2 linked regions of the Callithrix jacchus genome follow. The protein of the gene in region 1 interacts with the protein of each later gene in a biochemical or structural test. Links are inferred from orthologs where the notes say so. Each region holds a gene or a part of one and is shown on either strand. Other genes may lie near its edges. The genes, in order: NGF and NGFR.

The links.
Region 2: the proteins of NGF (region 1) and NGFR form a complex in vitro, tested with the Homo sapiens proteins (2 studies listed by BioGRID and IntAct, with this or other methods). The link is inferred for Callithrix jacchus from reciprocal best matches to the Homo sapiens genes NGF and NGFR.

What each region holds. Positions count from the first base shown.
Region 1 is NC_133508.1:153,271,334-153,275,138, reverse strand, and holds part of NGF (beta-nerve growth factor), read left to right. Parts: intron 1-478; coding exon 479-602; intron 603-3,805. UniProt on the Homo sapiens protein: Nerve growth factor is important for the development and maintenance of the sympathetic and sensory nervous systems.
Region 2 is NC_133506.1:116,811,881-116,816,278, reverse strand, and holds the start of NGFR (tumor necrosis factor receptor superfamily member 16), read left to right. Parts: upstream 1-1,533; 5' UTR 1,534-1,658; coding exon 1,659-1,724; intron 1,725-4,398. UniProt on the Homo sapiens protein: Low affinity receptor which can bind to NGF, BDNF, NTF3, and NTF4. Forms a heterodimeric receptor with SORCS2 that binds the precursor forms of NGF, BDNF and NTF3 with high affinity, and has much lower affinity for mature NGF and BDNF.

The sequences.
Region 1 (3,805 bases):
TTTGTCACCATTACTCATCCACATTTTTATCAAAGCACCAACTTGCTCTGAACCGTCAGGGCCTTTGCTTCTGTATAATGTATCCTAGGCTGGTTCAGCTTTGGATCTACTACAGCTGCATGTGTGATGTACTGAACAATTTCCACTTGGATGCTGGATCACGATCTGCTGGGGCAGGACTTTGGCGTGGGTCTAGAAACACCTGCGCTAGGTGCAAGATCAGCCATGGACTGTGTCCAGGCTGAACCCAAAAGGTATGGTGCAAGAGTGAGAGGCATGTGCCGCCACAGGACCATGAGAGGCCAGGACCAGGTAAATTTTGGTGGCCAAACTCTAGCTCCTTCCTGGGCCCTGATGCTGGTAAAATCCCAGAAATCAGGGAAATGGAATTTGTCCTATTGGCACATCCCTCCCCGCTGTGTAGGGAACAGGGAAGGTGGTGAGGTACCAGTCTAATGTCGGCTCTCCCCCTCCACAGAGTTTTGGCCAGTGGTCGTGCAGTCCAAGGGGCTAGATGGCATGCTGGACCCAAGCTCAGCTCAGGGTCTGGACCCAATAACAGTTTTACCAAGGGAGCAGCTTTCTATCCTGGTCACACTGAGGTAAGTGCCTAAGGGGCCTCTGCCTTGCCAAGGTCCTACCTCTGCAGCTGCCAGAAGCAGGGGACCCAAGTGATAGAACCTGAGAGGGCAAGACATACCCAACTGCTGAGCAGCAGGGGCCTGGAGATGCTGTCAGTGATACAGCAAATACAGCCCGCCTAGCCCACTCAGGAGAGGAATCTTTTATATCCTCAATTTGGCCCCACGACCTCCCGGGACATAGCAGGAGTCTAAGCTACATCAAAGGTCTAAAGTCACAGAACACAAGGCATTGAATAGACAGCATCAGTCAAACCCTCCACACAACTCTCTAGTTTGACTGAGCCGGGAACTTGTGAAATGGAAGGTTCGCAGCTGTTCTTTTTGCCCTGGGCCAGTGGAGTGGAGCGTTCAGATCCGCACACGGGAGGGCTGGCTATGAGTTCTATTTCTGCTTGGTGTGTGCCTGTAATGCAATTACTTAATCTTGCAACTCTGGTTTCTCATCGGTAAAATAGGAATAATATGGCCAGCCTCCCAGGCTTGCATAATGGTTAAATAGAAAATTATGCCCAGTAAATAATAATCATTATTTTCTCAGCTCATTCATGTTAAGGTATGTCTCTAAGAATTCAGATCAGTAGATCTGGTTCCCATTCATGCAGCCGGCACACCAGCCCTGCAAGAGTCCAGTGGCTCCCCAAGGTTCATTTTGTCTTCTACAAAGTTGAAGAATTAGGCTAGACTCATGGCTCTCAAAATGTGGTCCCCAGACCAACAGCATCAGCATCACCTGGAAACTTATTAGCAATGGAGATTCTTAATGTCCTCCTACCAGACCTGCAGAACCAGACGTTCTGGGGGTGGAGCCAAGAAGTCTATAGTATAACAAATTCTCCAGGTGATTCTGATGCCCTGAAGTTTGAGAGCCTTTGAACTTGAATCTCTGATGTACCTTCAAGGCCATGCCTCCTCCCAATAAATCCTGTCTGGGAGATACTAACAGAGGCTCTGGATTTTATTCTGTCAATGCCTCCCTCTGTTCAGCCCAGCCCAGGGCACCTCTTGCTGGGGAAATGAGGAGCCAGAGAATTCCTCTCACACTCCACACCAGCTCCAACCCCTAAGAGCATTCGAGCCTTTAAAACTGAAGACAGCAGCCAGTTAACATGTAGAGTGAAGGCCAAGCCACATACAACAAGAAATGACCCTTGACCCACTCTCAGAATGTGGCGAATGAGATGGAGGAGGAGGAGACTGGATTTCCTTGGCCACAAGAATTTCCTCTCTTGCCAAGTTAGTGACCCGGATTCATGTATCCAGCCTCTAGCTTGAGAATCACTTGCAGCTCTTCACATGGCTCTCTCTGAGGCAGGAATTCTCTCACTCCCTTCTACAACACACCTCCCCAGGCATGGCTGCCAAGCCTCCCAGTGCCATCAGGCCTCCTAGCCACAAATATTTGGGTCAGTTGCTTAGTTCTGTCCCGCAGCTTCATCGCCTATTCAGGTGAGGCAGAATCTTTGAAGATCATTCACCTAGTGCAAGAAGTTTCTTCTATTATCGGAGTACGTGAACTACTAGAAATCCGCAGAATGTACGGCTGGTTCAGGACAAGGCAAGAGGGCTGGGCAGCCCGTCAGTGGCTGGTTATAAAGGCATCCCAATGGGCCACCCTCTCTCAGTCATGGGTCTTCCGTTCTGGGTAGGAATCGCACAATTAAAGAGCATTCTCACATTAAATAGAACATGCTCCTTCACATGAGCCCCTAATCGCATCCTCCCTGCTGACCATTCAGCTTGCAGAGCTCTGCTTCATGAAGCCACACAGAAGGCTGTCATCTGTTCAGGAGAAAGGCTTCAACGGGTTTTTTAAAAAAATAAATAAATAAAACTTCTCCCCTGGTTCACATCAGCCAAAAACAGAGTTTTCTCTTCTAAACTGCATTATATCACTAGAACAGAAGATGCGCTCGATTCTTCTTTTATCTACTGATCATTTTTAATCGAGTTTTTTTAACTTAAAAGTTTATAGGAACACGCTCTCATGAATAAACTAAAATTTTTTTAAAAAAAACTTTAAACCTAAAATCCAAATGAGGGATATACTTGAGACATTTTCAAGTCTTAATGAAATAATCTGCTTGTGATACAAATCTCCATTGTGATTAAATGTGACCAGGCACCATTTGGCATCTTGACTGTGAGGTGAGAAGTAGTGTTCAGTTAAGAACTGAACTTTTGTGAAGTCAGTTCAGTCAAACCAGTAGATGCAAGGCAGAGTAGAGAACTTCGTAATGGCTTAAAATCAAAGCATATCATAGTGGGAAGATCCCTTCAACATTAGCACTTAATGGAGAATTAGGAAACACTGGAGGCAGGAGACTTGTCTATATGCTCACGGGTTCTTGGAGGTGGACTTACCTGGGAGTCAACAAAGATGAGTAGGAAACTTTGCTGCCTACAGGGCATTTGTCCTCTAGAAGGGAGGATAAGAGAGTGCAACTGCCCTAAGAGAACATAAAGGGAAGGCTTTAAGAGATAGAGAAGGGAGTTTGTCTCAGAATAAGAAAAAGCTCCCCGGTGGAGGTGGCATTGAAGTTGTTGAAGGACAGCAGGAAGGATTCCACCAGCAGAGATGGAGAGCCAAAAAGGCCCCGGGAGAGCAAGAGAACGTACCTGGAGGGGAAGAGTCTGAAACAGGGCAGTGGTGGGGAAGCCCAAGCGATGGACTGCCCCCAGGAGTTTTGTATGCCCGGAATGCAAAGTATGTGAGGGGAGTAGAAGGAGGCAGGATCCCAATGCCAGGCGGAGAAGTCCCTACTGGCTTATAGACAAGGGGCTTGGCACCAGCTCCTCTGAGCAGGGTGATATGATCAGAGCAGACTCTAAGAAGTTACCTGGGGTGGCCAGGGATAAGAGGTATTGGAAGAAGAGAGATGGGGGTCCAGGACATCAGGTGGGAGACTGTTCCCATTACCTGAACTAGGGGCCCACAGGTGAGAATGGAAGGGAAAGCACAGTTTCAAGAGAATGCTACCAAAACAGAACTGAAAGGGCCGGATGGAGGACAGGGAGGAAGAAGCAGAGCAATAAGGAGGGGAATGGAGATAGTGGATGAATGAATGATGGCTCCGTAACAGGAAAAGGAAACTGTGAGGAAGTGTGTTTAGAAAGATGAGGAGAGAGGATTAAAAGAGATGGCAGCTATGAAACCCATCGTC
Region 2 (4,398 bases), on another chromosome or scaffold:
GTGAGCCACCACGCCCGACTAATTTTCATATTTTTAGTGGAGATGAGGTTTCACCATGTTGGCCAGGCTGGACTTGAACTCTTGAACCTCAGCTGATCCACTCACCTTGGCCTCCCAAAGTGCTGAGATTACAGGCGTGAGCCACCATACACGGCCCATAGGTGCTCTTGATCTCCCTTTTGTTTCCATAATTGGGAGGGTAGTGAAATTTTTTTTTCAAGGAGGAAACTGAAATCTGAACATGGCCAAAATTTGAGTGCTGGATGGGCTTTGCAGAAATCTCCAAACACCAACTCTGTGCTCCAGGGTCTTGATGAATGGGAATACAGAAATAGAGGGAACAAGCAAGGGGTAAGCGTGGGGGTGGGTGGCATACTTTTTGGGTTGGGAAGCATGTTATTTAGACTTTCCAAGGTTTCTAGGGCAAGACGAGTTTGGTCCTAGTATATGGGTGGGCACACAGATATGAGTCCACTTCACTTTTCTATTTATTCCCTTCTACGGAACTTCCTTGACTCCTACTGTACACCAGGAATTCGGAGAAGAAACCATAATCCCTGCCTGTGGAGCTTATAAGCCCATGGAGCCACTCACAGTCTAGTGGCGTCTATATTGTTGAAGATGCAGCTGTTTGTTTATGAGTGTCAGTGTGTGTGTGCGCTCATGAATGTGTGTGCGCTTGTGTGACTGTATACATGTGAGGGCTTTTGCAGACATGACTACCTACATACATGCATGTGTGAATGTGTAGGTAAGCACTTTGCATGTCTGAATAACATATGTGCGTGTGCATGCCTGCAGAGATGCATGTGTAAGACAGGTCGGCACAAGTGCATGGAGGACAGTGTGGGCACACGTAAGTGCACAAGCACACCTACAGGTGAGCCTGAGAATGTGTATTCCTGTGCGCTGTGTGCACACCTGTGACCCCTTCGAACCCCTCATTTGAGAATCAAATGTGGAAATGGACTCCACCTTGAATGTCCATGGCCGAAGTCAGGCCACTTGCGCCCTTCCCCTCCCCCTAGGACTCTGCCCAGGGACTTTCTTCACTGGAAAGTAGAAAGGTGGGCACAGGGGTGGAGATGAGGTGATGGACAGAGATGAAGGGCAGGGAGGGCAAGCGGGCATTCTTACTGATAGTGGCCAGGTAGGGAGCGAGGCTCCAGGGAGAAGGTGAAGCCAGAGGCGGGGGAAGATGGGTAAGAGAATGAACCCTGCGGCGGGCCGCAGCCGGAGAGAACGGGAACCGCAGTGGGGACGCCCTGGGCCCTGGGCCCCACAGCATCCGGGACCGACGCGCAGTAGCGCGGGCCGGGAACTGGGTACCAGGGCGGGATGGGTGAGAGGTTCTAAGGAACAAGGCGAGGAGAAGTGGCAGCGGGGTGCGGGGAACCGCACGCCCTCCCTTTGCCTCCGCTCCCCACCCTAAGGCGGCGGGGCGGGCGGGCGCGGTTCCGGGGGTGGGCGGGATGGGCGGGGCGGAGGCGGGGCCGCCGCACTGGCTTCACCCAGCCCCTCCCGCCCGCGGCCAGAGTGAGCCAAGACGCGGCCAGCTCCGGCGGGCGCGGGGTGCGCTGGAGCACGGCGCAGCGCAGCCCCATCCGTCCGCAGAGCGGACCGAGCTGGAAGCCTTGCGCTGCCGCGGGAGGCGAGCAATGGGGGCAGGTGCCACCGGCCGCGCCATGGACGGGCCGCGCCTGCTGCTGTTGCTGCTTCTGGGGGTGAGTGTTAGCCCGAGGGGGCCCGCTCCCTTTCCCGGGATGAGAACTCCGAGGAGAGCCGGGCGCCGCCACCCAGGAAACAGAACAGAGCGTTGGGGTCCCAGATGCTGAGGGTGGGTGGTGGGAGAGGCGCTCTGATGCTGGGACCACGAAGGAGGGTCTAGGGTTCTCGGAGCGCAGAGGCGACCCTGAGTCTAGGGTGGAGATGCGGACACGACCGGGGCACGGATGCCGGTCCTCAGGTACCGTAGGGGGCGGTGAGGGAGCTGGGAGGGGTCTTTCGAGAGGTGGCATGGGGCTCTCTGATGCCCGGGTTCTTCGGAAGAGGACACTCCAATGCCGGGATCCCGGAGGGACTCTCCCCTCAGCATCTCTGTCTCTGGAGAGTCGCGGGACGGAACCCAGGCGAGAAAAGGACGGGGAACGGGAAGCGGACTAGAGATGTGAGGGGCGAGCTGGGCTGGTGGGGGGTAGCCCGGGACCAGGGGATGGAACAATGGAGGAGGTCGGAGGGATTGGAGGCAGAGGGGACCCGGCAAGGACAATGGGGACCGGCCAGACAATGGGGGGGAGGGGCGTCGGAGGGAGAGGTTGGGGACCAGAAGTGGATTAGGGAGGGCAGAAGAGGGGCAACAGCCAGGGCTGCAGAGAGATGGAAGCAAAAGGAAAGCGGACGGAGCGGGGCGCGCACCCTAAAGTGATCGGGGCCCACTGAGGGACAGTGAGACGAGAAGTGAGAGCGGAGTCTTGGACATTTCCCGCGCCTGTCCCCGCGCTCCTGCTCATGGCCTCTCCCAGTCCCGGAATTGTGGCTGCGATCTAAGGCTGGGAGGGGAGCACCCACTTCGCCAGGTCGAACCCGCTCCCCAAGTTCCCCCATGGCCGGCGGGCTCCTCCGACGCGCGTGTTCTCATTGCTTGAAGCAGCGCGGCGGATCGCGAGGAATGGAGCGGGTGTGTCCGGACCCCGGCTGGCGGCGCCTACGTCTCAGGGTGCAGAGCGCCCGGGCGCACTAGGCGGGGACCCGTCCCGCGCAGGCGGGAGGCAGCCGGCAGGGGGCGCTGCGGGGCGAGGCAAGTGCCGTCTGCTGCTGCCTGCGAGTCTGGGGCTGCGCTCCGCCCCCTACCGAGATGCGCGACCCGAGCGCCGCGCCCACCGCGCTCCGTGGGCTCCCGCGCCTCGAAGGGTCAGGATCGTGTCTGCGCCTCGCCTGGCTCTCGGTGCAAGCCACTGGGTACCTAACGAGACCGGGGCGCCCGGACGTCTCGGATTCTGCCGCGCCGTGTCCTGAGTCACCAACTCGGCCAAGGTCGGCGACTCAGTCCTCCCGGCAGTCCGACGAGATTGTCAAGTGTGGCCTGCTGTGTGGCCATGAACCGAATGCCCGGGAAGGTCTGGCCATGGAGGAGGTGTCTTCACTCTCCTTGCCAGCATCTTTCATTTGAGCGCTGCGCTCCAAATCCCGGTTTTACAGATAGGGAGACTGAGGCTCTGAGAGTTTAAACGACTTGGCCAAGATCTCACAGCAAGTTGGGCCAGAGTTGTGGCTAGACTCCCCCAACCTGGTTCCCAGCTCCGCACTCCCCCACCTCTTCAGGGGGCAGCCGCTGTCCCAGGTCGGGGTCAAGGCTGCGTTTCCCAGCAGGGGCGGGCTTGACACCTTCCCCAGAGTCAGGTGGCAGTGGAGCCTGCGGGTAGGGTGGGCAGAGACCCTGTCCGGGCGCGGGCCCCACCCTAAAAGCTCAGCCCCGGTTCTTTGGAGCTGTCGGGACCTGTGGCCGTGTCCGGGGATTTGGGAGTGACCGCGGGCACGTCTGCTGACTAACGCTGCCGGTTAGAGACACCGCTCCGTTGCGGGTGGGACATCGTGGACCAGGGGGGCGGGGAGGAGGGACGACGACGTGGGCTCCCGGTCTGAGCAGGAGCGAGGGTCCCCGCGCCGAGACTCAAGGAAGGAGGGGAGCTGGGCGCGGAGAGCCTGGGCGCTGGTGAAGGTGGACCCGGACCGGAACCTGCCGTCTGCAGCCCCTGCGGCTCCCGCCTCCGCCTCTGCGCGCGGCTGCTGCGTCTGGGCGAGCTGTGCGCGTTCCGAGTTTCTTCCTGGGCCGCGGCGAGAGAGCGCTGAAACCAGAGCGCGTCCCGGCGGGTCGGCTGGCGGGCCGCGCCGGTAATGGAGGCACTTTGTCATTCAGACGTCTGTAACCAGAGCCGCCGGGCTGGCTAATGCGCCCAATACGGATGGAGCGAGGGCAGCAAATGGGCGTGCGTGAGCTGCCGGGCTGGGGTGGATGGTGGATGGGGAGGTAGCTCCGGGGTGATGGGCCCCCACCCCGCTGTACCAGCCCAGTCTGGCTCAAGCGCCTCGCTTCCTCCCTGGGGGCCCGGGTGGGGAGGTGGGAATAATCGAATGAGCTGAGTCCCTACTACGTGCTCGCACTGCCCTGGTACTTTCTCTTGAGTTATTTAATACTTAAAAAGTCCTAGCAAGGTGAAGTTAGTTATTGCCACCTCATAGTTGAGGAAACAGAACATTCCAGACTTTCAGGCCCGAGACCAGGCTCCCTCAGTGAGTGACTCGGTGGTGGCACCTTTGTTGAAAGCCGGGATGCTTGGCCTGGGATGTTCTCTTTCCTCCATATGCCAGGCTGCCTCCCTCCCCTACCTTCCAGATCGT